4 linked regions of the Lonchura striata genome follow. The protein of the gene in region 1 purifies or fractionates together with the protein of each later gene. This does not show direct contact. Links are inferred from orthologs where the notes say so. Each region holds a gene or a part of one and is shown on either strand. Other genes may lie near its edges.

Evidence for each region.
Region 2: the proteins of CANX (region 1) and LRRC59 purify together in Homo sapiens (affinity purification with mass spectrometry; 3 studies listed by BioGRID and IntAct, with this or other methods). This does not show direct contact. The link is inferred for Lonchura striata from reciprocal best matches to the Homo sapiens genes CANX and LRRC59.
Region 3: the proteins of CANX (region 1) and TMPO purify together in Homo sapiens (affinity purification with mass spectrometry; 3 studies listed by BioGRID and IntAct, with this or other methods). This does not show direct contact. The link is inferred for Lonchura striata from reciprocal best matches to the Homo sapiens genes CANX and TMPO.
Region 4: the proteins of CANX (region 1) and MOGS purify together in Homo sapiens (affinity purification with mass spectrometry; 3 studies listed by BioGRID and IntAct, with this or other methods). This does not show direct contact. The link is inferred for Lonchura striata from reciprocal best matches to the Homo sapiens genes CANX and MOGS.

What each region holds. Positions count from the first base shown.
Region 1 is NC_134617.1:6,815,088-6,822,633, reverse strand, and holds the start of CANX (calnexin), read left to right. Parts: upstream 1-4,345; 5' UTR 4,346-4,432; coding exon 4,433-4,435; intron 4,436-7,546. UniProt on the Homo sapiens protein: Calcium-binding protein that interacts with newly synthesized monoglucosylated glycoproteins in the endoplasmic reticulum. It may act in assisting protein assembly and/or in the retention within the ER of unassembled protein subunits.
Region 2 is NC_134621.1:5,720,416-5,728,458, forward strand, and holds the start of LRRC59 (leucine-rich repeat-containing protein 59), read right to left. Parts: upstream 3,098-8,043; 5' UTR 2,973-3,097; coding exon 2,868-2,972; intron 2,523-2,867; coding exon 2,463-2,522; intron 1,948-2,462; coding exon 1,789-1,947; intron 1,484-1,788; coding exon 1,379-1,483; intron 794-1,378; coding exon 721-793; intron 297-720; coding exon 123-296; intron 1-122. Other genes in the region: ACSF2 (medium-chain acyl-CoA ligase ACSF2, mitochondrial), read left to right, coding at 6,817-6,905.
Region 3 is NC_134607.1:55,413,802-55,421,069, reverse strand, and holds the start of TMPO (thymopoietin), read right to left. Parts: upstream 3,089-7,268; 5' UTR 2,930-3,088; coding exon 2,687-2,929; intron 1-2,686. UniProt on the Homo sapiens protein: May help direct the assembly of the nuclear lamina and thereby help maintain the structural organization of the nuclear envelope. Possible receptor for attachment of lamin filaments to the inner nuclear membrane.
Region 4 is NC_134606.1:2,199,006-2,206,993, reverse strand, and holds MOGS (mannosyl-oligosaccharide glucosidase), read left to right. Parts: upstream 1-4,846; 5' UTR 4,847-4,927; coding exon 4,928-4,961; intron 4,962-5,054; coding exon 5,055-5,266; intron 5,267-5,339; coding exon 5,340-5,530; intron 5,531-5,611; coding exon 5,612-7,310; 3' UTR 7,311-7,435; downstream 7,436-7,988. Other genes in the region: CCDC142 (coiled-coil domain-containing protein 142), read left to right, coding at 1-4, 224-388, 457-611, 690-842, 1,471-1,585, 1,660-1,837, 2,483-2,691, 3,288-3,529. UniProt on the Homo sapiens protein: In the context of N-glycan degradation, cleaves the distal alpha 1,2-linked glucose residue from the Glc(3)Man(9)GlcNAc(2) oligosaccharide precursor in a highly specific manner.

The sequences.
Region 1 (7,546 bases):
GTTGCATCTGGCTCCAGATCCCAGGCTTCTTGTGCAGGGCTGGAAGAGTTCTTGTCCCCTGAAGCCAAAGGGCAAGTGGGATGTGGCTGGGGGCTCCTGGGCAATCCTGGCCACGGGACCTCATTGTGCCTCGTAACAATCACATGTTGTTATGGGAGAAGAAGACCCTTCCTTTCCTTCCTTTCCTTTTTTTCCCTTCCTTTTCCTTTCTTTTCCTTCCTTTCCTTCTTCTCCTTCCACTCCTTCCTTTCCTCCTTGCTTATCTTGCCCCTCTTCACTCTACATAATAATAACACCAATTAAGCACTTTCCTTTTACCCTGGGATTGAATGGAATTTCATTTGCCATTAATCACATCCAATGAAACTGTCGAAAGTTAAGACATTCAGAAACTTGACCACTGAAAAATGGTTTATTTTTGTTTGTTTGATGGGGGGAGCTGTTTGTTTGTTTGTTGTGAGTTTGTGAGGGTTTTTCTGCGGTTTTTTTGGGGGCTTTCTTGGGTCTGGTTGGTTTTTGTTGTTTTTGGGATTTTTTTGTTGTTCCTCAAAACAAACAACTGCTTCCAAACACACAAAGCACAATCCCTGAGCCAGACAGCCCCCAGTGGTACCATGCAAGGTGGTACCAACTCAAGAGGTTATCGTAGAGGAATTATCACAGATCCATGAGCAGCTGGGGGAGAGCAGCTATTGTCAGTCTCTGATCTGGTGAATCTGAAACGTGTGAGCTAAAGTGGAAAGACTCTGTTCTAACACAGTGTCTCTCTTTTGGCCTTGCTGCTAATCACACTCAAGCCCCTCTCTGTGCCCTGCCTCTCAGGGAGCTGTGGGGATCGAGCATTTTCTTCTTTGCAAAAGGTTTTGGGTGTTGCTAATGCCCTAAGGACAGGACGGTGTTGGCAGCCTCTTGCTGTTTCTGGCAAGCCTTCATCTGTTTAAATCCAAAGGGTAACCTGTATTTCCCTAGTGAGGGAATAACTCCAGTCCACATGTTGCAACCATGCTTGGATACAAATGCCTCAAGTGTGAGACCCTCAGGGAGGACACAGTTCTGGGGATATATGAGGGCCGCTCTCAAGCAAATCTACACCAGGTCCATGAAAGAACTGGCAGAAAGGGGCACGGTGGAAGCCAGATTTTTCCCAGCAAACTGGTGCAATGCTTATGACAGCCAGAAAAGGTGTGTACAACCATCAAGATTTCCTTACCTTATGTCCAGACTAAACCTGCACCTACTATCTTGTCTCGGGTGACTCTGAATTTCTGCTTCCCAGAAGTTGTCTGTAAAGTTCCTGTTCTCAGGGACACTTCCCAGCTTGTGAAAACGGTATCAGGTGGATAGATTGTCTTCCTCCACCTCAGTGCTCTCTGCCTGTCTCTTTCTATCCATGTGTGAGTGCTCAGTTACTACTTATCTGTTGATTTTTTTCTTTTATTTATCTGCTTCATCGTATTACAATTAATTTATAACACTTTTTACATTCATGTTTATTAGCTCTGAAAATGGTAGGACTTCATTATTTCCCTTTAAGATTATTATCCTCCCCCTGTTCTGATAATGTTCATGCATCTTTTCCCATCCTTCTCTCAAGCATTGTCCCCAGAGATGTCTTTGTAACAAAATGTGTTTTCCATGGAAAGCATTCCAGAGCACATGGACATTGCTCCGTACAGTGATGTGAGCTTGCCTCCCCTCCTGCAGTTCAAAGTTTGAAAGAGCAAAAGTCAGTGTACTCTCACTGGTTGTCTGCCTTGACTGCCTGCTCTCTGCCAGTGTGGTGTCCCTCCTGTCACACTGACCTGCTGGATTTTCCACTCGTTTCTTGCCAGTTTTCCAGAGGAGATGAGTTTGAAAAGATGTACTACTAGTGCTTGAAATGCAAGGAGAACTCTAGCAATGTGGCAATGCCCTGAAGGGATTAAGGAAGGAGGAACACTTTGGAGATAAAGTTAGAGGGAATTATGAAAATACCAGTGGAAAGCACATGACGTTTCTGTCTGATAACACTCAGGAAAAGAAAGTTCCCACAAATAGAATTACACACAGTTCTAGTGCACTAATAAACTGACCATTGCCTCTCACCTCTGAGGTGTGCATATTCAGGCTCTGCCAGTCTCACCACACTGCCTGATTTCTGCCTTTTTAACTGTACTGCCAAAGTCAGAGAGCAACACACTTCCTGTGTGTTTGTCAGTGGGACAAAGCAGATCTGCTGCAATAAAGCCTGAACACACCAAAATTATTTTCCTTGACAATGTCATGTTTGCCATGTGGTATCTGCCATTCTCTTTCTTTCACCTTCCCTGCCCTGGCACTCTAGAGTCTAAAAATACCATCTTCTCAGCTGCCAAAGCAGTTAAATCTCTGTGCATGTTTCTTCAGTTTCCTTTACTCATCCCTTTTGCTTTCCTTCTGGATTATCTCTCTGTTGTGTTCATTCTGTATTTCTTTTATCTAAGTTCAAACATCTCGAAAATCCCCACATAAGATATGCTTTTAGCAGATTCTTTTTTTTTTTTTTTTTTTTTTTTTTTTTTTTTTTTTTGTAACTTACAGTGCTCCTTTCTTCTCGATGACAAAGCAGCACAGGCAGGAGCCAGCTCCAGGGCTGCCTGCCTGTGACATGATTCAGCAGGTTGTAAAAGGAAGGAATGTTTTCTTTTTTGGGAAAGGGTGGGAGAGAAAGGGGAATCACGTGTGTGCATGTGTGTGTGTGTGTGTATTTGACTTCCTGGTGCTTCTGTGATTTCAGCAGGAGTATTATGCTGTTCTGCAGTCATGTTGCAGTTAATAACCTGTTTCAAAAAAAAGGCTTGAAAGATATTTGGTGGAAAAATGGGTTTTTCTAGATTGAGGAGGGCACTTGCTAAAATATACTGTTTTGTTACTCTTTAAAGTACTTTTCCATAGTGTTTTTAGGTTATTCTTTAAGCATTTGATATCTCCTGTGCTGCCTGTTTGTGACTGTTTCCCTGCCTGTCTGCATCTTCTGCTAAGTCTGGGTATAGCTCAACAGAGCAGTTTAGGAACCAGCTCGGTGTCTTTCTGGAAAAATGTGTTTGATTCCAAACTTCAGTGCAAGCAGGGATTTGCTGATTTCATTTATGCTGAGCCTTATTTCTGAATGCTGAGGCCCTGCTTGCTTTGTCCTAACACAGTGGAATTTTCTCTGTGGGGAAACTTATACTGCTGACTCATTGCATCAACTCAAAACAGATTTATGTTTACAAAGGAAAAAAAAAAAACCACCACCCTTTTCTTTCTTTCTTTTCTCTAGTAATATTGGATTTGTTATTCCTGCAGAATACCTTCTATCTCCTGGAACAGGCTGCAGCCCAGAGACCATGCAGGAGCTGGCTTTGAACAGGGTGGTTCAGACCCAGCTTTCTGTGGAACTGCTCTCAGCTGGTGCAGCTTGGAGACAGCACAAAGGTGCTCTAACTTCCAGGCTACCAGAGCCTGTTTTCCTCACCGTGGGGCCGTGTTCCCTGCCTCCCACACGGCTGTGTGTGCAGCAGGACACGGAGACTCCTCAGGCTTAATCCTGACCTCCTTCACATGGTCCATCAAACCCGGCGTCTCCTTCGGCCTGTCTGTCCCATGGGCCCACCAAGGACACTTTTTTCTGTATTTCCCTGTGTTTCTTTAATGATTCGATGTACAAATGTTCAACATTTATACAGTGTTTCACCTCTACAAAACTGCGTTACTTTCCTTTTTAAAATACAGCACAGGTTAAAGGTTCCGGAATTGCACAAGGCCTTTGGGCAAGCAGCTGCTGAGCAGCACTGCCATATTCCGAATACGCTGGAGTCTGCGTCACTGTTCGCTATTTTATTAAACCCTCGGCTTGTAACAGAGGGAAAGACCACCAGATACACTGAATTTGTTGAATAGGCAAGAAAACCCGAACACCCCTTCTAAAGAACGAGAAGACATAAAGATGGCTCTGCTGTTTAACACAGCGGAATTTTATGGAGCAGAGGGTGAAGGCTGTGAGGGGATGGGGGGGCGCGGGCAGGGCGCGAGGCGCTGCGGCTGGCCCCGCCCCCGCCGCCCCCCGCCGCCCGCAGCGCCCCTGGACCGCCACCCGTTGGGACCCCGCCCACATCCCAACGGCCTGCCCGCGCCCACCCAATCAGCCGGCACTTCCTGCAACCCCGCCAACCAATGACAGCGCTCCACGAAGGGCAGCGCCGTTGGGGGCGTGTCTAGAGGCGGGCCGGCTGCTGAGCGGCGGTGACATTAGCCAATCAGAGTGCACAGCCGGCGACTGGGCGGGCGGACGAGCGCGCTGTCCGCCAATGGGAGACGCTGAGCGCCGTGAGGCGGGGGTGGGGCCGGCGCGCGGCAGATAGGCGGGCGGCGGCGGGCGCGCGGGCACGTGACGGAGGTGAGGGCAGCCCGGCGGCGGTGGCCGGGGCGGCGGATGGTGAGTGTGTCCGGCCGGCCGCGCCCTCCCTCCACAGCCGCTGCGGCTCCGCAACATCGGCGCGGGGGAGCCGGCCTCGCCCGCGGTGGCGGGGGCGCTCGGCCTGTCGTGGGGCGTGCGGCGGGGCGCTGCTGGGCCCTGGGGGGTGGGAGGCCCGTGCTTGTCCCGGCCCCATCGCGGCGGTGGGAGGGCGCGGGGAGCCCCCGCAGTCAGGGCGGGAGGGACGGCCTGGGGAGGCCCCTGAGGCCGGGGGCGGGCGCGGGGCTGCGGCGGCGGCGCCGGGTCCCGCCCGGCCCCCGCAGGGCTCGGAGCGGCCTGGGGGGAGCGGCGGCTCTTCTGGTAAGTTCTGGGAGCGCCGCTCCGGGCAGCGCCTGGCGCTAGGGCCGCGTGGTGGAACCGGGAGGGAGGCGAGAGTCGCACGTAGATGTGGGCAGCGCGTGGTTTAGGTTTTAGCTGGCTACGTGTTCCATGTCGGAAATAATCTTGAACGTGCTCCCCGTGCAGGGGAGATCAGGAGGTGGGTGCAGAGCCCGGCGTGGGCCTGGCTGGGGCTGTGTGAGGGGAAGGAGAAGCCTCTGGAAGGGGGGAGCTTATGGCGAGGGGCTGGAGTCCCAACAGGTGAAGTGCAGGCGACGAATCTGCAGTAGGAACATCTGAGAATTTAAAGGCATTGAAATGCCTGCTTTGATTTTTGTCCCTCAAATATTGTTTGCATTTGGTGCCTTTAAAATAGTGTATAAATGACTTCTCATTTCTGGCTGAGGATTGTATTGTGTGCTTTTAAAAGAAAAATAAAACCCACACCATTGAATTAAAGCATGTACAGCACACTGCTTTCTTATCTGTACTATTCTAAAGTGTGAACTTTCACATGCAGGTTTGTGGTTCAGAACTTTCTAGGCTACAGAAAGAGAAATGCTGCAGGTGATTTGATTGTGAAGGGTAGTGGACATGTATTAATGGCAGTAGTAATGGTAAAGGTCCAGACCTAAAGAATCAGTCTTAACATAATTAATGCTGCAGAGGTTCTGCAGGTCATAGTGGAAAACTCTTTCTGGAACTTATTTAGAGAATGTTAGATGTCTGAAAACTGGTCTCTAGGCATGTAATGTATTTCTAAATGTAGTGTGTTGACTTCACGTCCTCAAGTAAACATATCACATGGGTGTTGTGGGACAGTCTTGCACGTTGTGGTTTTGGTTGTTGCTAAAGTACTGCAAAGAGATAGCAGAACTATAATAATGTATGAGCTAATCCAGATAAAATAATGGTTAAATATAGGTTGGTATATATATATATTACTCTAGGCTCACACTGACTTCAAAGACCACTTTATTGTTAATTAGGCTGTATTTGATGGGCTTATGCAAAACACTTAATAAAATTATGAAAAGGTCTGAGTAAAACTATGTGTTTGTATTAACTTCTAGTATTTCTAGTTTAACTAAACATTATGAAGAAGATACTTATACAATTTACAGGCAGCATTGCAGGCTGTGTATGATATGTAAACTGCTTTTTGGGATCAGCTGCCCTCCTTGGAAGGGAATCTAGTGTAAAATAGTAAGAAAGTTTTCAAATTCCATTGGAAAACCCTCTCTTGTGGTGTGCTGTAGCACTTACCCTGAGTAAATGAATAAATCCTTTACAGAGAATACACTGAGACTTGTACTTAGCTCTGCCTTTTACTTCCTTTTCTGGCCTTTGACTTTCTGCTTCTGGGAGTAGTCATAGTGGCAGCCTGTTCTTGTTGGAATCAGTTCTGTAACAGGACAAACTTGAATTGTTTTCTAGGTGTGATGGTCTCAAAGATCTTGGGATCCCTCCAGATCTGCCCCCACTAATATCATTTTCCCAGCAGCCCATCTGTTTTATGAGGTCAAAAAGCCTCATGGTTCTGTCTTACCCTCCAAGGACTTCCAGTTCTGCAGGAAGGATATCTGTGCTTACAAACGGTATCTGCTTTTTGCTTCTGTACTGTGTCTGCACTGTTGTACATTATTTTTAGAAACTGGCATATTTGAAATGCCTATTAAAAGCAAGCTTTGTTGCTGTCCCTTTTCACACCTAATCCCTTGCCTGGTTTGTGCTCTCTAGAGCCCAAACAGGAGGCAGCTTTTTTTTGTGGGGCTGTCCAGAAGAGGTTTGGCTAATCCTTTCCAGGAGACTTCTTCCTCATGTAGAAGTGTATCCCAGCCACTTATTACTGAAGAAAAAAAAATGTAGGAGGGACCACCATGGAGAGTTCTTGCCTCTCTTCTCTTGTTAGTAACATGGTTTTCCTTAGCCTTGTCTGTTGTTCATTGAGTTATGATGTTAAAGGGAGAACCTTCTCAATAGTGGAAGTTGTCCATCTGAAAAACTATTTCAGAAGAAAAAGTGTTGTCTGCATTATATGAGTTGTTGTATGAACCTGAACATAATTTTTTTATATCCCCTTTTGAGGTGTGCTGAGGCCCTGTACTAGTTGTTGAAATTATAGGATTTGGCCACACAGTTTTCAGCTGCACCATAGTGTCTGTCCCCCAAATCTGCCTAAAGAGAAATCAGGCAGGTACAGGTGACAGACCTGCACTTGAAACTGTGATATTGAGCTGCCAACAACTTTATTTCCTCTATCCCTGGCTACTTACTTTCACTGGTACTGCTACAACTCTTTGCTTTTGCTGCTGGGTTAGCCTGGGGTATTGATGCAGGGTTAAAATAACATGGCAGAAGGACTTCGAGCCATCTTAAACCAGCGGCTGGTTCATCATGAGGCTGTGTAAACAGTTACCCAGGCACTGCAGAGGAGGCAGGATGTGGAAGGCAGAGGGATTGTGAGATGTAAAAGAGATTTCCTCTGCTCTTCAGTAATTCTGACTTTAGGAAATTAGTGCACTACCAAGTAGGGTAGCTGAGCCTTTGCTCAAAACCAACAGAACTGTCATTTGAGAGGGAAAATGTATATCTGTGTCTCAGCCTTTCTGTTCTTGCCTCCTTGCAATTTTTTTGTGTTGTGATGAATCATCTTTATGTTTGACTTTAAATTTTTCTTCTCTAATTCTTGCCTTGCATGAGGCGTTGTGCTTGTTTTCATTGACGTGCTTCTGCTATGAATACCACACTGAA
Region 2 (8,043 bases), on another chromosome or scaffold:
GTCCCAGTCCCACCATTTCCCAGTCTCCCAGTACCTGGGCTGCATGAAAGCAATTCAGGCAGCATCACAAGCTGATGACAATGAAACCTGACACAATCCCACCCAAAATGGACGCTACTTACTTCGGGTGTGCACTGTTTCCTTTTTTGTTTTCTTTTCCATCTCCTGTTTTGCAGCTTTCTGAGCATCGTACTCCCGCCTTCTGCGCTCTTTTTCCTCTGCCTTCTCTCGCTTCCGCAGTTCTCTCTCCAGAGCCTCCTTTGCTCGCTGTTCTGCTTCACGCTTCTTCTCCATTTCTGGGGGTTAACAGCAAGTTTTCCCCTTTTATGTAAGAGGGTTGTCACTGCCATTTTCCTTACTACCTTATTGTCCCAACTGGAATGAGGAAGCCAATTAAACAACTATCATCTTTTTTTATAATTTTATTTAGTATTACATACCTTGCATTTTGCTGTGCTTTTCTTTCAAGTTTCGTAGATAACCTATAGCACATTCCATCTAGAGATTTAACTATTCCTCAGGCCAAGGAATCACATACACTACTCCCCTGCTATATTTCTCCCTCCAGCCATTTTACTCTACTATTCCTTGAGTGCTTTGACTACTTTGGCTACAAGTATATGTTAGATGGCAATTTATTAGATGGTGATCAGAATGTTTGGATGTGTTAGACCAAGAGCAGTCCTCAGCAGACTGCACGTGGGGGCTGTTTGTCCCTACCTCTCTCTGCCTGGAGTTTCCGCTGCCGTTGTCGATCTTGCTCGGACTGGATTGCTTTCATGTGCTGCAGTACCTTAAAAAGCCAAGAAAACAACCTGAGGGCTGTGCAGAAGCCCAGTGGCACAGTCAGTTCAGAACAGAACAGATGGAGTATGGCTTAGAACAAGCAGCTGGGGCTGACTCCCAACCCTCCCCTATCCCTACAGCTACAGCACTGGAAAGAACTCACAACTTGTGTGAGTTTCTGTTGTAAAAAAGCCAATCCTCCTGTTAAAAACAAACATGGCAAACTGGTGCTCAGTGATACATAGGATCACAGAACATTTCTATTTATGTTTGCCAGAACTTCTCCAGAGCTTTTTGTGCTATCAGCACAGGCATGAATTACTATGTCTTATTATGCCTCTATTTTCTTGGGAACCAGTATTTCATCCTCTCTTCACTCCACCAATGGAGAAGCATCCTCCTCAGCCGGGTGTTTGCTCTCCACAAGCATAGCAATAGGGAAGTCAGTGCAGTGGACCTGCACCTCACTCCCTGAAGAAACTTTGGGCTGGGCTCCTGCAGCAGATACCCAGCTCACTAAGCAGAGAAAGAATCACTGGCAAAGCCATTAAAGGAAAAAAAAAAAAAAATACAATAAAACCAGACTCCTTACCTTGACAGCAGCCTGCTTACACTGCTTCTCATCCAGACAGTCTCCTGCCACTTTAGCCAGGACAGGATCCAGGGGATTGTCCTTCAGATCCAGCCACTTCAGGTTCTGCAAAAAATCACAACAAAGGGGAGGCTGTAAGAGCACAGCAGTCCTGGAATTATTTAAGAGATCCGAAGCAGAAGCAAAGAACTGCTTAGTTTTCACATTAATGAAACAGGTACAGAAAATGAGCAGAGTTGTTTTCAATAGACTGAGAGGATTTTCACTGAGCTGTGATGCAGACCCAGCTGAATTTTGGAATGAGTAGTCAGCAGGATGGATGCTTTACCAGAGAAATCAACTTGAGCAGGATCACAAGACCCTGGGCTGCATCCCAAAGCTTTACGTAACTGCCCAGCAAACAGTTTTACCTTGAGCTGTGCAAAGCTGACTGGCAGGGTGACCAAGCGGTTGTTCAGAAGGTCCAGGTGCTGCAGATTGACCAGGCGGCCAAAGTCCAAGGGCAGCTGTTGCAACCGATTTTTACTCAAATCCAGTTTCACCAGATGCATCAAACTGCAGAAGTCTGACTAAAACCCAAACAAAGAAAACCCAGAGAAAGCCGGTTAGCGCCTTTATGGAAGAACCTAAGTGGGAAGTATGTGGAGACAGCCTGCACCTTGCATCAGGCACACATCCTTGATTTACTACAAGACTGTGATGGAGGAAGATTACTCTCCTCCTTTGCCTTGGAAGATGGAGGTGAGACACAGTAGGACAGATAGACAGACTGAGAAGGTTATGGATGACAATATGACAGGAACAAACCCAAGTCTCCACTGCGGATGAAAGTCCTCTCTATTAACCTGGGGATGCTCTGGAAGGAGTGTACTGCAATCTTCACACAGTTCAACCCTGTACTCTCTCCTGCCTCAGCCAAATCACTGCCAGCACTGACCCGTCACTGACAACGAGTCATTCAGCCACCCCAGGGCAGTGAAAATGCCAGTTCCACGGTGCCTGGTGAGCCTCTCCTGAAGCACCAGCTATCTTTCCAAATATTTCCCAGCAGACACATCCCCACGGAGGCTCTCTAGCACCTTACCGGCAAGGAAATGAGGTTGTTACAGGACAAATCCAAGATAGTAGCTTTCGGAAGAGCGGCCTGAAAGACAAATAAAGCACTGAATGAACATGGAGGTTCACCCGACCCCCTCTGACACCTGTTCTGCTTCGGCCTCTGCGGTTTCTCCCGCGTCAGTCTGTCCATCCCCCGCGGCTGCTCCGAGGCCACGTCATCTCCGGATCCATCTCTGTATCCAAAAAGGTTCTTATCCCGGGACAGCAGTGACTAGCGGCTGTCGGGCCCGCGGGACAGAACCTCGCTGCTTTCAATACCTGCAGGCCAGCTCACAAGCCCCCAGCACATCCAGCTCCCCTACGCTGCTCCTTCCCGGGGACCGGCAGGCGGTCCCCAGCCCCGCCGGGGGGGGTACGGCCGGAGACTCACCAGCTCCCGCACCGGCACCTCGTTCAGGTCGCAGAGGCTCAGGTCCAGCTCGTTCCCATCCAGCTTATCCTTCAGGCTGATCCCCTTCCCGCTGCCCCGCGACATGGCTCCGTCGGCGGCTGCCCGCGGGGGATGCGGCTCGGTTGGGTTCGGAGCGGCTCGGCACGGCTCGGCACGGCACAGCCCAGCCCGGCGTGGCACGGCCCGGCCCCGCCACCCACTTCCGCGGCCACGTCTGCACGGGCCCCGCCAGCCGCCCCGAGCGCGCCCGCTGCCGGCCCGGAGCGGGGCCGCACCGGCGCCGCAGGACACCGAGTTACCCTAAGAAAGAACGTTACCTGATGCTCGATCTCTTTCAAACCTAAGCAAAAAGAAAGGAGATTTAATCCCCGAAGCAGACAACCGCTAATAAGCTCTGAGCGCTTAGAAAGACGAATTACTTGTTGGTAGAATTGTCTTGTTAGGGTTTAATGTTGATGCGATGATCTCAGATGTAATGGGATGTTAACAAAGCTTGGGAAGAAGGATGTACTACTGATAGTGGGTACAAGGAATGCAGGATTTATGGGCTACAAGAACATTAGGCAGAATTTCCAAGATAAGGAAGAAACTAATAAAGCTGGCTCAGCAATTGGGTTGAATCAGCTCCAAGCAGGTAAAAGGTAGTTCTGTCAGGAGTAGATTATGACCACCTATTCATGGACACAGACCCAAGAAACCCACCAACCCAAAAGAAGAGAGACAAGACTGTGGACTAATTAGTATGGGAAGTGAAAAAAATCATTAGGCATTGGAAGATAGAATACTAATTGATATGAGAACCAGATAACTCGTAGCCAATGAACATTAATGCCTTTTGTTTGCTAAAATATATAAACAGTCAAAAGTTTTGACAGTTGTCATGCTGGCTTTGTGGATTTGCCATCCAGTGCAGAACTGTAAATAAATCAAATACTACAACTCTGGGTTTGGGTTGGCCTCCTGTACACTGGGTGGGAGAGCCTATTTTGGGACACACTGGCACAGCTCAGGGCATCCTTGCAACTGTCCCACCAGCCCTGGAACCCTGGCCAGGTTGGCAGGAGTTTAGATCTGGGCTACATGAAACAGCCCTGCAGAAGGCAGGAGAACTCCCAGCCAAGACCCATGAGCAGGGGCGGTTTTGCATCCAGTCACATCACCTGACACACAGAGAACCAACTGGTTTATGGCCGATAATCCCAACAGAAACCCAAGGATGTATACCTTGTTTTGCAATACCTGATATAGCTGCTTATATCTGTCCACACTCTCCATAATCCAGGGGCTGAACTCCCTCTCAGTTTGGCTGTTACATTACCCCACAATGTCTGTTCACAGGAGGGACACTTAATGGATATTCCTGCTTTGCTCCCAAGGCTCCAGTCCCACAGGAGCAGGGCACTCTGTGGAGAAAGTCAGTGAAAGAGAAAGGAGCCTGGGGCAGAGCCAAATTAGTGTTACCTGGTACTGGGATTACAGCATGAATTTCCTGACTTCTGTGCTATATGTGATGTTTGGGACATTGCAAAGATGTTTTCACTATTGCAGCCCATCTACTCTGTGGATGCATTAGTTTGTTTGTAAGCTGCCAGTGAATTTCTTCCAACACCCAGAAACCAATTTATTTGCTCAGTACTGAGGTAACTGAGGCCACAGGATTCTCTGAACAAAGGCATGCCAAAGTAGCACACAAGGATTTGCCTCGTAGAAACTACAATAAAGTTTGCCTGAGTTTAAGGTGTCTCCTGTCCAGGAGATTATGGAAGATTTTCAGAGCATGTTATTGTTCTTCCAAATGTGAGCAGAAATCACAGAGCCCTCATCTGAGAGGAGTGAGGTCTACTTATCCAAGAAGCTCCCTCCATACATCAGATTTCACAACAACGTTTGTTGTTGGAGGGAAGAGCCAGAGAAGACCTGCTCCAGGGAATGGTGGGGAAACCAGATCTCCAAGGCAGCAGCTGATTACTGATCCACTCCTTACCCTGAGCCAGAGAGGGATTCATGTGATGTGCAGTGCTGTTCCCCTCCATGGAACAGCACCAAAGACAGTCCTGCTCTGGAGAACAAAACCCAGAGGGGCTCTGAGGGGGCCTGAGCAAGACCCTCTGCATATCTGGGAAATACAGAGACTAAAATCTGTGTTTGAAAAATCCAAGAGCCATTGGCAAAACCAAACAAGGGTGTAATGGGTTACAAAACCTACCTACTTGTTTGTGATTAACAGATTTGAAAATCTTGATTAGAAATGAATGCTACCTTATGCAATGGTGTATGAAATGTTACTGCTTCAGGGGTCCTTTGATTTGATCTCTAGCCAAAATCACTACCATCTCAAACAAACATACTCAAATGTCAGGGTGACATTTCTGCATAATTCATGGTTTAATTCTTTCTTTAACTGGGACTCACCATCTAGGCTAAAAACCATAATGTGGGAAGATCAAGCCAAAAGTCATCTTTATTTTTATTTATTACACGTTTGCACTGATTTTTTTTTTTTTCTCTGTGGTTATACAATACTGAGAGCTCTGATGCTCCTTCAGCACAAAGACAGTTGCTCTGCTCTGGCCAAACAGTGGAAGGACAACTTCTGGCCACAGATGTCACACAGCTTTACATCCCCTGTGGGAATCCAGAAACTCACCTGGCTGCTGGGTCCAGTGGGGCTGACTGGAGGAGGTATCCGTGCACGCAGGCTAGAAAGACTTTGAAGCTCCACAAGACAAAGACAAAGCATAGCACAAGGTGCATCTGTGCACTCTGCTAGGGGCTGCAAGAACATTAGCAAGGAGAATGGAGCAGGAAATGCTGAGGGAAGAGGGATGAACACAGTCGATCTAATTGTGATCTAATGCTCCTTACTGGGGCTGAGCTGACCATGCCAGCCTGGGGTTGGAGACCATTCCCAGACGCTCAGAAGATCTCTGGCTGCCCTCTGCAGCCAAGGCAAGTTTTTCACATTTCAAGGGAAAAAAATTCTCCCTTTCCCTAACAAAGAAGACATTGTCACTGCTGCCACCAAACAAATTCCTTGTGAACTAGATGCACATTGGGGAAAATCCTTAATTTCTAAAAGCAAGTGTCAGACACTAGAGATCTGGTGGCAGTTGGTATTTCACTCTGTCGCAAGCACAGTTTTGGCTTTGATGTCTGAGATTCACCATTCTGAGGTTGATATTTACGCTCTTTGTCAGCGCCATTGTGCATGATGTGATACACATACACTGTGTCACCTCTTGAGCATCAGTGCTGATGCAGAGCTCAGCAGCCCCACACCTCTGTGCTTAGGTGAGGGGGGTCTCAGCCTGCCCAGCCCTGGAGCAGCTCTGCCGTTCCTAGCTGCTCTCTTCTCCTCCACAGGGAGTGCATACAGGTGTTAGTGAGGTGCTAGCTGATAACTCATTGATGGCATAGGGCTGGAGGGCAGTTGGTGACTCACAGGGCTCAGGCACCAAGTGATACAAGTGGAGACAGGTAGAGGCAAATAATGGTGTTTGTCTTGCACCAAAGTCAGTCTCTACTCATTTGAGTGGAGAGGCTTATTCGGGTGTAACAGTGGTTGGGTCAGGCTGATGGAGCAGGCCTGCCCATTATCTCAAGAAGAGATAGCGGACCAGAAATGTGCAGGGAAGAAATTGTGGTGGGCAGCTTGGGCTGGGGACCGGCAGAGGATGGATGGGGAGATGCCCGGCGGGACTCTGGGGGCTCCGTCTGAGCCCGCAGTCCCTCTCGCGGACCGGGCAGGGCTGGCTCTTTCTGTGCTTCCCTTCCCCCGGTGCCTCCCCCCGGCCGGCGGAGGGTCCCGGGAGCGGCGGGCGGGGCGGGGCCGGGGCGGGGCGCGGCGCCCGGGGCACCGAGCGGCGGCGCGGGCCGGGCCGGGTCCGCGGGGTGCTGCGGGGTGCTGCGGGGTGCTGCCGCTGCAGGAATGGCCGTGGCCCGTCTGGCAGCGCTGGCCCGGCACGGGCTGCAGCTCCTGCGCCGGGCGGGCGGGCAGCGCGGAGCCCCGCCGGGCAGGTAGGGACGGGCTGGGGAGCGGGAGGTGCGGGATGTAGGGGTAGAGGGCTGTGGGGCTGTAGGGGACTGGGGCTGTAAGGGAATTAAAGGGTGCAGGGGGCTGTGGGTGAGAAGGAATAGGGGCTATAGGGGGCAGAGGGCTCTGGGGTCGGGGAGCTGTAGGGCACAGAGGCTGCAGAGGATGGAGACCATGTGTGATGGGGGACAGGGACTATCAGTGCTGTGAATATCCAGCTAGGCCAGTGGCTGCATGCAGGGAGGGCATATTCACCCTTGTCATCCCCAGACCCTTCCAAAGTGGCAGAAGGCAGGCTGTATCCCCTGGATCTGCTTCACCCCACCTGGGAGTGGGCCGGGGCAGGGATGAGCCCTGAACAGCAGGAGAAGGGAAGTGAAGGCATGGCAAGGGCTGAACTTTGTGCAGCGGCTCCATCTAGATTGCAGCAATGTGAAGTTTATCAAATGGCTTCCCCATCTTCCTCCAGAGCTCTGACTTGCTGTCAGTGTCCCTGTCCCCCTGTGGTCCTGCAGCCCCCAGGTAGCTGGGTGGCCAAGCAGTGTGGGACACCAAGAAGCTCTGGGGCTTGGGAAGTCAGGCCAGTTCTTTGCCTTGCTTTTCTTCAGTGGTGCCTCTTTGAGCAAGTTCATGTGAAAAACCAGCAATGGGGAGTATCTGGCTTTGGGAAAGGCTCTGATTGATTCGCTGGTATTCAGAGTAATAATCACTGGGATGACTTCCAGTAAGCAATTCCAAGAATCAGGCGGGGCATTCCTTGTTTTTCACAGACAGGGTTTAGGTGGGTTTTTTCAGCTGGTTTGACATTAGGAGTGAGGTGTTGAAGCCACTTCATCATAGTTGTGTGAAGATTGCCTTCTCAGAATCAGTTCTTAGGAAGTAGGATCACAAGAGAAGCATGACAACATTCACTGCAGCTCACTTCAGCCCAGAATTGAAACTGAGGGACAAGAACACAAAGCCCTTGGGGAGAGAGAGCATGTATTTAGAGAGTAAACTCTTTCTAGTAATGTTATAAAAAAAGTTTATTAAGTTCTACTCCTCAGTTTGTTTATCCCTTTGGCAGGGAGAGTGCAGAGGGCAGAGAGATACAGTGGAAAACAAAACCAGAAAGTTGCTGCA
Region 3 (7,268 bases), on another chromosome or scaffold:
CTAGTCACTGTCCTCAGATACCACTATGCCAAACAGGCTTAAGGGAAAAAAGCAAAAAAGTTGGTCAAAAACATTAGTAGAGCTGGAGAAGCTGGCTTCTCCCAACAATATTATCAGATTGAGGCACAAACAGGTGTGATTTTAAAAGCCTTTCCTGTTCTGGTAGGAATATATAGCCAAAGTGAGCCATATATTCTTGGGCTGGATAGAGCTAAGATGGAAGAGTGACAGAATCAAAACATAATTTGCAACATAATTGAAACGATGGGATTTTGTCTCTGTACAGCTTTTATCAATAGAAAATAAGCACCTGAACGCATTATCAAATGCTCAGAACTTAGAAAAATGCCACTAAAATGACAGTGTAGACAGTTCAAAATTCCTAATGACTACAGCCATGTCGAAACTCCAATGCCAGCATTAAGAGACCCGGTACAGCTTTCAGGGACTGCAGCGTGGGTATTCAGCTTGCCTGCAGGCGTTGCTCACACCCGCCGTAAGACAAGCGCTGCCTGCCCCCGCTCAGGACGCCTCGGAGCGCGCCCCCTGGCGCCCGGCCCCGCCCGGCCCCACCCTCCGGCCGCTCCGCGCACGCGAGGCCGGCAACCCAAGGCGGCTGCGGGCTCCGAGAGGCCAGGCGCTGTTTGCTCCTAATAAAGCCAGGGGCGAGCGGGCCCAGAGAGGGGCGGGGGAGGCCCGTTCTTTTACTTCATTCCGCCTTTCCATCACTGCTTGCAGTTCCAGCTTCCCACCCTTGTCCCTTATTTCTAACTTCTTACAAATGTCAGTGCTGTCCCTCCTATCCTCTCTTAAACTCACCAAGATATTTTGCTTTGGTTTTTCACCAGAATCCCAGTCCCCTGGGATGTCCCTCGCTCTTCCTCTTCTTTTCAATTGTTCTGGGGGCAAATTATTCTGGAGACACCTGTGCTAATCTTTTTGAACGACAGCTGATCACAGAAGTACCCTTATGCCAAAAGACATTAACAGGGACAAGTTACTCAGGCTACAAGTAGTTGCAGAACTATTCAAGTGGCACAAAGAAGAAAACAAGCACAGATCATCCAAGTTTGTTTTACTTGGCAGGTATTGTTTGGGATTTTTCTGAGTGTTTCGGTTGGGGTTGGTTGTTGTACCGAGGGGAAGGCGACACAACACAGGGCACAACGGACCCAAATCTGAGCAGCTCTCACTAGATTATTTGCCGAAATTCTGGAACTTCTGATGATACAGTGCTCTGATACTAAAACACAAGCATAAATAACACAGAGCCTTCCAGATATTGTCAACAAAAGTGTAGGAGAACCACCCATTCTGTAAACATCAAAAAACTCACTCACAATTGTTTGAACTTAAGCCCTCTTGAAAGGAAAACTCCTATCTAGGAGAGGAACTAGCAGTTCTGATATGTTCCTCCTCCAGCAAGCATGAAACAAGTCAGATTCAAGCTCATCATGTTTTACTCAAAAGCAGCTTATGAATGCTATCAGCAGACCACTCTAAGTCAGAGAAATATCTGTTTCACTGTAACTGCATTCAGTAAATGCCAAGTAAGTGTCTGAAATAGACAGAAATAAGGTAAATAACTTGGTTTTAGAGAGCTCTTCCTCTTGAAGTTACAGTTTTCGACTTTTTAGTTTAAGAACTGCTCTCTTAGAAAGTTAAAGCGTGAAAGACCTTCAAAGGACTCCGTTTCTCAGCACGCCCTCAACTAATGACCTTTGAAACACAGTATCTAAGACACAATTAAATAGTTTCACTATCACACACATTAGGACTCCGGAAGCTGATAATCATTATCCAAGGCTTTTCTCGAGATTAGACATCTTACAACACCAATTACAAGATTGCATTCTCAATATATGCAAATTTATAGTACACTTATGAAAAATTAAGAAAAAAATCACATTTTCCCAAAGAGGAAAAACTTCAAATGCCATCAGCTTTCCCTCTTTCATCACACGCGTAAAGTCTAAGAAAACAAGCACAGTGGACGAACAGAACAGGCACCAGAGGCGCTTTGCTGTAATACACATCTTAGAGGTACGAGCAAGACGTCTACATTAAGCAGACCCTCTTTACACTAAACAGTCCACATCATTAAGCGAAACAAACTAGCTGTTACCGCGCAGCTTCATCTTTCATTTAGAGGCATTTACACCGACCAGCGCTGCTGCCGTACAACCGTACAACAAGCGGACCGGAGTCCTTTCCTGAGCAAGCTGCAACCTCGTACAGCTCTCTTGCTTCGCTCCTCCAACACAGCAATAGTCTACTTAGGACAGCGCTCGCCAAGCTACAGCAAAGGTTTCCCAGTTTACAGTCTGGGGGCTGTTTGCACGCTCCACGCGCGCTGGCGCTGCCTTGCCCCGCAGCTCCAAGGGGCGCTCCGGGCGGGACGCATCCTGGAGGAGCAGCCCGCGGCCCCCGGCACCGACCCGCCGTCCCAACTCGTCCCCGGTGCGGGGCGGCCGCCCCGCTGCCCCGCTCCCCCAGGCGGAGGGAGCGTCCCGGCCGGGCGCGATCCCGCCCGCGGCCGAGCCGGACGCTCTCCCGGCCCCGTGCGGGGACCCCGGCGCGCCGCGCCCCGGCGGGCGGGCGGGGCGGCCGGCCCCGTTCGGGCGGGAAAGCGGGCCCGAGGCTGCCGGGAAGCCGAGGCGGCGCGGGCAGGAGCAGCGGTACTCACCCGCCCGGCGGCAGCAGCTCCGCGGCTCCGGGCGCCGAGCGGTGTGGGCTCCCGCTCCTCGTCGCTGGAAAAGTCGGGCTGCGCGAGGGCGGGCGGGTTGCGGGCGGTGAGGTGCTGCAGGTAGAGCTGCACGTACACGTCCTTGCGCTGCTCGCCGCCCGGGAGGCTCACATTGTTAGCGATCAGCTCGCTCTTCAGCTTCTCCTTGGTCAGCACCGACGGATCCGCCAGGAACTCGGGCATCGCCGCCGGCCGCAGCCGCCACCGCCGCTCTCCCGGGAGAGGCACCAACAAAGCGCGGGGAGAAGGGGCGGGGGAGCGGCAGGAGGAGGAGGAGGAGGACTCGCCTGCTCCGCGCCAGGGACCAGCTCCACAGCGGGCGGGCGCGCGCACCGAGCGCTTCTTCCCAGCCAGCAATAAGCGGCGCCCTGATTGGTGGGGAGAGCAACGAAGCGGCCCCGCTATTGGCCGGCGGGCGGAGAGGGGGCGGGCGGCGCGGGAGCCGCGGCGTTGGTGCTTTGCGCGAGGGACAGTAACGCAGTTTAAATTCGGCTCGGGCGGGAGCGGCGCGCGGGGCGGCGCTCGCGGGCGCCGGCAGGGCGGGGGAGCCGCCGGGGCCCCCTCGGGTGACAGGTGTGTCCCCGCCCCGGGAGCGCCCCTCCCTGCCGCGGGGCAGGCGTGAGCGCCATCCCCGTTACCTGCCGCGATCCCGGCGTCCTGCCGCCACACCTGCCGCCTCCTCTGCCCCGGAGGCACCTGCGGCCTTGGCAGAGCGGCTCGGCAGCTCTTTCCCCCGGGACAGCCGCCCAACCCTTTGGCTAGCGGGCTCCAGAAGAAATCCAGCCGGGAAATCAGTAGCTAATCTGTTTGTGTGACTGCCGCCGTTGCGGTGGCTTAAACGCAAACCCCGAACTCGCAGCTACAGTACCGCAGAGTTTGAAAAGCGCTCAGTCGTTTTATTTATCCGTTTGTGAAGTCGACTAATAAAATGTCGCAAGTGTGCTCCTGCTGGAGAAGTTCGATTAAGTTCAACACTGCAGTCTTACAGTCTTTAAACAAGTGGGTTAAATTCTTCTGTGTTTTACCTGCTGCTTGCTGGGAACACGCACTGCTTCTGTTTTATGATGGGAAAGGTTTAGTGTTTAGATTTGACTACATGTCCTATGCTTTTGAGAACCACCTTACAGTATACCAAAAATAAGAATTTAGATGTAGCTATTTCAATTTCTCCATCAGTCATGGATCTGAAATGGGATTGTTGGTGTTTGCACCTACTCTCCTTTGTATTCCAGAAAGAGTTGTAAGTTGCTGTTAGGAAAAGGGATTTCCACTACTGTTGTGTGCTCCGTCAAGAAGCTCTCGTGGTGCCTGTTGCTCCTATTTACCTTACCATAGCTCAGTATCAGTTAGATGAAGGTGATGAGGATTATTTTTTCTGGTAGGTAATTTCGAGACAGATCAAGGACCCACCCACAGGAAGCTTGACACTTCCCACTGAAGAATTGGTGTGATGTAACAAAATAATTAAGAGGAGGGAGAAGCTTAGCTTGGGACATTTAATTTACTTCGTTGTGCTAGTAGCTCTGTGAGGTGGCAGTCATGTGAAGTTCTTTATTATTTGGATCTGAAAGTGCTTGGTTCCTGGTGTACATACTTAACCTGTTCAGTTAGGCAACGAGACTGAACAGTGGGTAGAAACATCTTCCTCCATTAATACCACACATGCACACAGTAAAAAGTAATGAATCAACATGGATTGACTACTATCATTTACTTTTAAGCTTGACTAGAACAAATTAGATGGTTCTATATATATTTTCAGCTATTTTACCCAACAATTTACCAGGTACATGGGCATTACATGACAGGTGTTTTAAAAATACTTAAAGGAAATTTAATTCCTGTTCAAATTTGATAGTGCTAACTTAAAGCATAGTATTTTTCACCCTGAAAAGCTTTTAGGTGGCTTGGGAAATAGTCTTTCATCTACCTTTAAGAATTTGCTTCTTTTCCAGATATGGAACAAGTTGCACAATATACTTTAGAGAGATCCTTCAGTTATCATACTAATGTAAAAAATAACAACTTTAACTCATATCAAGTCTAAAATTATTTAAAGCAGCATAAGGGATAACTGGGTCTGGGAAATTTCAGTCAAAGTTAATAGTGAAAATACAATCTAAAAAGTTGGTGTAGTCACCATGTAACATCCCCAAAGAGAATAATAGTAGGATAGCCCTGAAGCTTGTTTTTTGACAGTCCTTCTTAGTGCAGGCACCATTCACAACTTGCTGTACTGTTCAGATCCTGCAATACAGCTGGTGCTGGCTTTTCTTGTGAGTGCCAGTTCAGGAATGGAAGGAAGTACAACCACTGAGCTTGAATACATTGATGGCAGACCTGGTTTTAATGCATTAAGTGTAGCATAAAAAACCCCTACAGGAATACAGCACAAAATAGTAAATCCCTACAATTACACTCACAGTTCAGCTTTGGTCATAACAAATGGATAGGCTGACTTGTCTTATCTTGGTTCTGTGTTTTTCTGCTTTTGCTGTCAGATGAAACTGGCATAGGAGCATCAAGATAGCAGCTTATCATATGTTTTGGCTATTGTTCAAACTCTAGTATAGTTGTTGCGGAGCCACTTAAGGTTGTGGCTCTCATTAACATTGCTTAAAGTTTATATTTACAGTCCATTTAAATATTTAAAGTAATTTTCCCCAATTATAAAGAAAAAATGTATTTATTGTGAATTACTTTATTATGTTACTCTATGTAACTGTCTTGCACTGACATGGAACTCTTTGTTACCTCTAATTGCTTCCAAAGCAGCCAAACCTAAAGAAGCATGATATAATACTTCAGTGTCACTCTTCTTAGGAGCAACAGACTTCTCTGGGAAGCCAAGTCCTCGGCACAAACCTGTCCTTTATTGGTTCTACACTTCCTTCTGTGAAGCTTTCCAGTACTTGAATGTTTATTCCTAACTGCAAATTCTGGTTTTTGAAGACCAGAATACCTGCCTCTACTGGAGAAACAGGTAGCTACAGTTTCCTACTTGTCAGTATAAATGCTGACAAAAGCAAAGTTTAGGGAAAAAAATGTGAAAATGTTGTGAGACTGGCCATTTCCGGTGGTTAAAAGACTGCTCTAAGCTTGCCTAAAAATGTGAAATATGCTGAAAAGAGAAGCCAAAAATCCTTCCTTTGTAGGACCCTCCCAAATATCTGGAATTTCTTAGCTTTTCTGAGCATGAGAGATTTTTCAAGCATACATTCATCTTTGACATGAAAACACCGAATGCCTTTTAAAACTGTCTCAGATTTCCGGCTCGAGTTTTCCTAAGTTTGTGATTTCTCTAATGCCACCTCTAAAAATTAGATAAATAGTTTATGTTGCAGTATGCTGAAAAAAAAAGGGTATTTCTATATATGTGCATTCAAAAAAGTAACCTAAATTAAGTGGAGGGTCTGGAAAACGGCCTATAATGAAGGACAGATGTATAATTTGCATTCATACATAACATTTGTCTCACAATAGATAACACAAAGACTATACATTCATAGCGCAGTCATTTAAGCACATGTTACAGACATGCTCTTGTCTTAGACTGAGCTGATAAGGAAATGTAAAAAGCTGTATGAAGTATTAATTCAGTCTTGGTAGGTTTCACTATGAAAATTATATTCCCTGTAAGACATGCAATAGAAACTGGAAATATTTACTAGAAATAAAATAAGCAGTTGTCTAATCATTATAGCACAGCATAACTACACTTTCTAGAAACAATTATTTCTTTCCCACAATCTTGATTAATTTAGAAAAATTAGGTGGCTTTTTAATAATTCTAGGTTTTTTCATTAGAAATGTCTGTTTTTAAGTAGAAAGGGAAAAGTGATAAGAAAGAAAGCACGCCTTAGTATAATGGAGCATATTGCTTTTAGAGCAGTTCCAGAGCTGGCAGCCACTGGGAACACTGCTCTGCCACTGTCACCTGAAACAGTGAACAGACATGTGAATAAAGGGATGCCCAGCCCTGTATGGCTGTCCCCAGGCAAGGAAAGAGATTTGTACAACTGCTTTAAAACGTCTTACTGCTGATCTTATGTTCATCAAAGGCCTATACCAACAAGGACTGAAGACAGAAGTGTCAGCTCCTGCTTAAGCATACTGTCAGAAATGAAATGGACAGTTTTCAGGGTGGTTTCCTACAATGAATGATTTCCAAACCAGAATTATTTGGATATTTATTTCTGTCAAACACAGACAGAAGCTATATTTACCATATATAAGCTATTACTTCAGCTCCACTGTTTTTTGAAGCTAAAGTGGACTTAAGTTTTTGCAGGTTTTTTTTTTTGTTTGTTTGTTTGTTTGTTTTTTAGCTAGTAACAATTCCATAAGAAAAAACAGCTGTGTTTTTTCAGGTTACAAAATGCAGTATTTAAAAGTCAGGAAGAGACAAAAAGTACAGAAACACATGAGCTATTGAAATGCTGGTGAGAGACAAATACCTACTAGCATACTTGGAAGCCTCAGAATTAATGGAGTCAACCTGACAAAACATCTGTAAGGTCAA
Region 4 (7,988 bases), on another chromosome or scaffold:
ACGGGTACGGGGGGCTGGGGGGCCACGGGGAGGGGTTTAGGGGGTGCAGGGTGGGGGACAGGGTGGGGGGCACTTGGTGGATATGGGGTGAGGCAGTGGGGTGTGCTGAGAAGGGTTGTATTTGGTGTGTGGGGTGAGGGAGTGGGGTGTGCTGAGAAGGCTTGGATTTGGTGTGTGGGGTGAATCTGGGGATGTTGGAGCTTTCTGACTCTTTCTCCTCCAGATTTTACCCGTGCTCTGGGCTCAGGGCTGTCAGACAAGTGCTTGGAAGCCCCAGGAGGTTCCCCAGGGCCGGGCTGCAGCCGCACAGCTCAGCAGCTCCGGCGTCTCTTCCCAGCCCTGGCACTGGCCCTGCGCTGCCTGCGCCTGCTGCCCCCCCGCCCGCACGGTGAGAGGGGTCTGGGGTTGGGGCAGGTGGGTCTGGGGATCCTCTCCCGTGCTGACCCCCACCCGCAGCCCCTCCCGGGGGTCTCTGCCCGCGGCTGCAGGTGCTGGGCCGGTGCCTGGCGGCGGTGGCGGCCGCCCACGCGTGGCTGACGGGCCGGGCCGGGCGGTACCTGGCGGCCTGGGCGCTGCCTCAGTTCCTGCTGCTCACCCAGGGAGACCTGCAGGTACGGGGGGCACAGCGGGCACGGGGGTCTGGGGGTGGGCACAGCAGGGCTGGACTCGCTCCTTCTGCTCTCCTCCAGGTGCTGAAGGCAGAGGTGGAGCAGCTGATGCTGCAGGTGAGCGGGACCTTCCCGGAGCCGGGGGACATTGCTGGGGACAGCCACCCTGAGTCCCCTTCCCCGTGGGAGCTCCAGCTGTGCCAGCAGATCCGTGACGTGGCCAACAGCATCCAGGTATGGCGGGACTGTGGGAGGGTGGTCCTGAGCATGCCCGTGTCACCCCGTGTCACCCCGTGTCACCCCGTGTCACCGTTAGCGTTCACAAACACATAATCATGGGATATGATTATCTGCACATGCTTTTATTAAGAGCTCTGGGAATCAGGGGTACAGCCCCAAATCTGACTCCGACACGGCTTTCAAGCTGAATATATTTTATATTCTATCCTTATGTAACTCATATATTAATTATTAAACTTACATTGTTCTATTGTATACATTGACATGAGTTTCTCGTGATCTTTCTTAAGTTGCTGACCACAGTTTCTCATGATTATTCTTATGATTAAACAGTAATTATATTTAATTAGATTTATTTTATTTTATTTATATTTATATTTTATTTAATAGATATTAATTTTAACATATATTAAATATAATTATATTTAACTAACTAAACAATCATCACATCTAACAATTCTATCAATTATCATGCACTACCTACACAGTGCAGTTCTAGCAAGTACGAGTTCTCCATGTGCTTAGGGTGTTTATTTTTCTAGGGCCTACTAAGCTGATTTTTCCTTTTAACCCTTCATCCCCATGATTTTAAAACCCTTTTACTATCAACCCCACGTCCCAGCTCTTCTCGGGGGACGTGCTCTGGATGTTCTCCACCAGCTGCAAGCGGCTCTCGGCCGAGATCTTCGACCAGACGATGCCGCTGGGCCGGCACTGGCGGCTCGGGCCCCGTGCCGGTGGGTTTTGGGGCTGGGGGGGGGTTTTGGGGGGGATTGAGGGGCTCGCTGATCTGTGTCCCTGTGTCCCCCAGAGCTTCCCAGCTCCCCCAGCGCCTACGCGGCGGCCGCGGTGCAGGCGGTGCTGGGGCAGGTGCTGCAGGGGGCCCAGGCCCTGCCCCAGGATGCCCAAGTGCCCACCTTGGCACGGGTCACCACGGCCTTCCTGGAGGCCTGGATGGATCACATCCTGACCCGCCGGATCAAGTTCAGGTACTGGGAATTGGGGGGCCACAGCCTGTGGGCAGTGCCAGGGGTCCCCGTGGGGTCCTGGGGGTCCCAGTGGCAGTTCCAGGGGTCCCAGTGGGTTCCTGAGGGTCCCAGTGGGGCCCTGGGGGTCACAACGGGAATTTGAGAGGTCCTAGTGGCAGTGCTCGGGTTCCCAGTAGTAGTTTCAGTGGTCCCAGTGATGTCCTGGGGGTCCCAGTGATGTCCTGGGGGTCCCAGTGCAGTCCTGGGGGTCCCAGTGGAGTCCTGGGGGGCCAGTGGCAGTTTCAGGAGTCCCAGTGATGTCCTGGGGGTCCCAGTAGCAGTTCCAGGTGTCCCAGTGATGCCCTGAGGGTCCCAGTGGCAATTCCAGGTGTCCCAGTAGCAGTTCCAGGGGTCCCAGTGATGTCCTGTGGGTCCAAGTGGGGTCCTGGGGGTCCCAGTGGCAGTTCTGGGGTCCCAGTGGCACTTCCAGAGGTCCCATTGGCAATTCCAGAGGTCCCAGTGGCAGTTCCAGGGGTCCCAGTGGGGTCCTGGGGATCCTGGTGGCAGTTCCAGGAGTCACAGTGAAGTCCTGGGGGTCCCGGTGGTGGTTCTGGGGATCCCGGTGGCGATTCCGGGGGTCCCACGCCCACCGTGCCCCTGTGCCAGCCTGCAGGGTGCCCTGCAGCTGCGGCAGGACTTCCAGGCCGTGCGGGACCTGGTGTGCTCGGAGCGCTCCGGGCTGGCTCCCGAGGCCCGGCGGGCGCTGCGGGCGCTCGGCGTCTTCCGGCACACGGACGCGGCCGTGCGGTGCCTCCTGCAGCAGCCGGGGGGGCCGCGGGGAGCCCCCCGGGGCTGGGGCGGCCTGCGGCGCTGCTGTGAGAGCGGGGAGGGAGCGGGTGGGGAGGGGATTGGGATGGGATGGGGATGGGGATGGGATTGGGGTGGGATGGGATCCATGGGATGGGATGGGATGGGATGGGATGGGATGGGATGGGATGGGATGGGATGGGATGGGATGGGATGGGATGGGATGGGATGGGATGGGATGGGATGGGATGGGATGGGATTGGGATGAGATGGGACTGGGGATGGGATGGGATGGGAACGGGATGGGATTGGGATGGGATGGGATCAATGGGATGGGATGGGAACAGGGTGGGATGGGAACAGGGTGGGATGGGATTGGGATGGGGATGGGAATGGGATGGGGACGGGATGAGACGGATGGGACGGGATGGGATGGGGTGGGATGGTAATTGTCTGGGATGGGATGGGATGGGAATGGGATGAGGTGGAGTTGGGATAACACAGGGTGGGACAGGGATCAGGAGACTGGGACAAAGATGGATGGGGACAGCGAGAGGGACAAGGATTGGAACGGAGCTGGAGATGGGGATAGGAACCCCCATCAGAAGCAGGACCTGATCTACCAACCCCCATCCATCTAGCCAACCTCTCCATCCCTTCCCAGGCTCAGATGAAGGCGCCCACCCCCTGGAACAATCCGTGGATCCTCTCCCTGACCCGGACCCTCTGGAGGGGCCAGGCCCGATCCCAGGGCCGCCCCCGGAGGCCGCGGAGGCTGATCCCCCGTCCCGGCCCGAGTCCCCGTTCCCGGGCAGCCAGCAGCAGTGGCTGGCGCTGCGGCTGCACCGCGCTCGCCGCTGGCGCGTGCCAGGCCTACCGTGTGTCGGGAACAGCCCCGAGGGCTGAGCCAGAATAAACCTGGAAATGGCACGGCCGTGGCTGTGTCTGCGGGGTGGGATATTGGGGTACGGGGCTCTGGCATCCCTGTTGCTGGTGGGCACAATCGAACTGGAATTTTTACGGGGCTAGGGGGTCCTGGAGGGGCTGGGGGTGCAGGGTGGGATTCCCCTGGGGGTCCGGGGGGATATTGCAGGTGGATAGCTGGAGTTCCAGAGAGGTGCTAGGGAAAGCTGGGGCTCCTTTGGGTACCCCCAGAGAGGCTGGGGAGGAGATTAACAGACACGACAAAGTGGGCATCAGGTGTGGGAATCCAGGGATTCCCTCTGGCTGCCCTGGCACCCTGGCAGGGGTCAGGAACCCCCCTGGACAGAGCCCCCAGAGACACTGGCTGTGATCTCTGGCCATGGAAAAGAGTTTGCAATCTTACAGGATCAATTACCAGCTCTGAGTGTTTGATATCAGTAATAATTAAGTATGGCACGGGTGCAAAAGTAAAATTTTAGGATTCTAGATGGGGGGTCCAAAGGGGACAAGATGGAGGAAATTGGGTGTGCCTTGTCCTTTTTCCTCCTTCTTCATGCCCTCCATGTCTCACTGTGGTGTTGGCATTTTTCTGTTGGTTCAGGCTGGGGACACACTGTCCAACGTAGGTGACAGATATTGGCACGTTATTGTAAATCCAGCCCAGGGAGTTTCTGGTATTTAATGTTTGTCACATCCCACTGAGGGCAGAGCCCCACACGCTGCCCTGCAGGACAGAGCTGGGCAGGGCAGCAGAACATGTGAGAGATCAACAGAATAAACAACCTGGAAACCAGCACAGACCAATGATGGCTTCTGCTTTGGCAGCGGGGCTGACAGACAGAGACTTTCTACAACCTCAGAATCATCAATACCACGGATTCCCACAGTGAGGAGCGGGGCCGGTCGGGCCACCCCGCGGTGTCGTTGTCCCGTTGTCCCCTCGGGGTCTCCTGGAGGACCGAGCCTGCGCGTGGTCCTCCCGCCCGCCAGGGGGCGCTGTGCGACGGGCCCGGCCGCCGCCGGCGCAGCGGTGACGTCATCGGCGCGACAGCCCTGATGGCGGGCGAGCGGCGGCGGCGCGGCGGGGATGGACCGCGGGAACGGCCCCGGGAGCGGCTCCGGGACCGCGACGCCAAACTGCGGCCACACCAAAAGACGCCGCGAGGCTCCGGCCGGGGCCGGATGCTGCCGGCGCTCGCAGCGGCAGCGCTGGCGCTGGGTCTGGCAGCGGCGGCGGCGGCCGGGTGGAACCGGTGGAGCGAAGCCTCCCGCCTCGTCACCCCGCACCCCGCGCCCCCCGCAGTCCCCCCCGGCTCCACCGGGCCTCTCGCGTCGCCCACCTATTTCTGGGGCACGTACCGGCCTCACGTCTACTTCGGGATGAAGACGCGGAGCCCGCGCGCTGTCGTGACCGGTGAGGGGCGCGGGGGGCTCCGCCCCGCCCTGGGGCTCGTCCGGGCCCGCTGCCGCCTCCGGGACCGCCCGTGACACCTCCCCGCCCCTCCAGGGCTGATGTGGCTCCGACACGGCGGCAGCTTGCGGCACACGAGCGAGCAGAACGACGGCGTGTCGCGCTACGGGTGGCTGATGCACGACGGGGAGAATTTCGGCGTGCAGGAGATCCGCGACGAGGGGCTGGTGCTGCGAACCGAGTTCGTGAAGCAGCCGGGGGGAGAGCACGGCGGCGACTGGAGCTGGCGGATCACGGTGAAGACGGAGGTGAGGGGGCGAGAGCGGGAGAGGGGTTGGGATGCTGGGGAGCTTTCATCACCCTCCTCTTCCTCCTCCCCAGGGCAACGGCCCGGCCCCTCTCCTGTCCCTCTTCTTCTACGTGGCCACGGACGGGCAGGGGACGCTGCGGCCGGTGCTGGAGAACGGGACACGGCTGGCGGCCGTGGCGGGGACGGCGGAGGAGCTCGGGGACTTCACCCTCACCTTCCTGCCCCCCACCGGGGAGGCCGGGGAGGGACCCAAGTATGCCAGGTGAGTGTCGGGGCTGTGGCCCCAAAATCCCTTCCGTCCGCCGCCGTGTCCTCCAGCCCTGACTGTTCCCTCCCCCCCCAGTTACAACTTCCTGGCCGCGGGCGTGCCGGGGCTGCACCGCCTCACCGACCTGGTCCGGCACAGCCTCCGCGACGGCTCCGTGTTCTCCCCGCCGGGCCGTCCCCGCCGCCGCTATTTCGGGGTGTCCGGCACCGGGGGGCTGCCCGGGGAGCCCCCGCGGGGGCAGCTGCTGCTGCACCAGGTGACACTGGAGCCGCCGGCGACGCTGGAGGCGGCGCTGGAGTCGGGCAGCGCGGCGGCGGAGCGGCGCGGGAGGCTGGCGGGGCCGGCGCTGAGCGCGGCGCTGGCCCGGCACGCGGCCGCCTTCGAGCGGCGCTTCGAGGACACCTTCGGGCTGGGGGCGCGCGGGGCGTCCCTCCCGCAGCGCCGCTTCGCCCAGGCCGCGCTCAGCGAGATGCTGGGCGGCGTCGGCTTCTTCCACGGCCGCTCCCTGCTGCGCTCGGAGCGCCGGGAAGAGCCGGTGCCCGGCGCGGAGGCCGCGCTGTTCACGGCCGTGCCCTCGCGCTCCTGCTTCCCGCGGGGCTTCCTGTGGGACGAGGGCTTCCACCTGCTGCTGCTGGGCCGCTGGGACCCCGCGCTGGCCCGCGACATCCTCGCCCACTGGCTGGACCTCCTCAACGCCGACGGCTGGATCCCGCGGGAGCAGATCCTGGGGGAAGAGGCGCGGTCCCGTGTGCCCCCCGAGTTCGTGGTGCAGCACAGCGAGACCGCCAACCCCCCGACGCTGCTGCTGGCGCTGGAGCGGCTGCTGCCCGACGCGCCCCTGCCCTACCTGCGCCGCCTCTTCCCGCGCTTGCACGCCTGGTTCCAGTGGCTGAACCGCACCCAGGCCGGCCCCGAGCCCTTCACCTTCCGCTGGCGTGGCCGCGACACCGACCCCGAGCGCTTCCTGAACCCCAAGACTCTGTCGTCGGGGCTGGACGATTACCCCCGCGCCTCGCACCCGTCCGCCCAGGAGCGGCACTTGGACCTGCGCTGCTGGATGGCGCTGGGCGCCCGCGTGCTGGCGGCGCTGGCCGAGCGCCTGGGCGAGCCGGCCGCGCCCTACCGCGCCACGGCCACCGCCCTGAGCGACAACGACCTGCTGGACCGCCTGCACTGGGCGCCCGAGCTGGGCACCTTCGCCGACTTCGGCAACCACAGCGCGGCCGTGGCCCTGCGCTGGCACCGCCCGCCCGGCGGGCCCCCGCCGTCCCCGCGGCTGCGGCGGGAGGTGCGGGAGGCGCCGCGGCCGCGCTTCGTGGACGCCCTGGGCTACGTCAGCCTGTTCCCGCTGCTGCTGCAGCTGCTGCGGGCCGACTCGCCGCGGCTGCCGGCGCTGCTGGGAGCCATGCGGGGCGAGCGGCAGCTCTGGACGCCCTTCGGGCTGCGCTCGCTGGCCCGCGACAGCCCCTTGTACCTGCGGCGCAACACCGAGCACGACCCGCCCTACTGGCGCGGCTCCGTCTGGGTCAACATCAACTTCCTGGCGCTGCGGGCGCTGCGCGGCTACGCGGCCGCGGCGGGGCCGCACCGGGAGCGCGCGGCGCAGCTCTACCGGGAGCTGCGGCAAAACCTGGTGGCCAACGTGTTCCGGCAGTACGAGGCCACCGGATTCCTGTGGGAGCACTATCGGGACAGCGACGGCGCCGGGCAGGGCTGTCGCCCTTTCGCCGGCTGGTCCGCGCTCGTCGTGCTGGCCATGGCTGAGGACTATTGATGTGGGGGTGTCCCTGTGCCCCCGGCGTGCTCAGGGCCAGGGGAGGTGGTGGGGGGCTGTGGCGGAGCCCCCCCATTGCCTCCCCTGCAATAAACCCCCACGAATGTCGCCTCTCGCCGCCCGTGTCAGGGTGTCACAGTGTCGCCTTTGTTTTGCCCCTTCCTGTGCTGTTGGAGGTCGCCCCCCAGCCCAGTGCAGCCATCACAGGGGTCGGTGGTACTTCCACATCTCTTTAATGGTGGGAGAAGGTGCCGGGACCACCCACCCCCACGGTGTCGGGCACCCCCCAGGCAGCAGCACCGGGATCGCAGGGGAGGCCCCAGGAGCAGTTTGGAGGGGAGCGGGTTCCAGCAGGACCCCGCCACACTGCCAGGTGGGTGTCAGTCTAGGTGAAGGGCCCCCAGGGGCTCCGTGATGAGTCCAGACCCCACTTGGGGGTCTTGGTGGGGGGCTCAGACGGGCAGCATGGGTGAGCCAGGCCCCCCGCCACCCCCTGCTCCCCCACAGCCCTCAGCCTCGCCCTCCTCCTCCTCTAGGCCCCGGCCCACCTCGATGCCCGAATCCCCTGTGAGCCGCCGGTGCCGCCCGGGGCATCCCCCTGGCACCGCTCTGCTCCCCCCGTCCTCGCCCCCCTGGGTGATGGAGCAGGGGTGGCCCTCGGCCTCACACAAGTCCGGG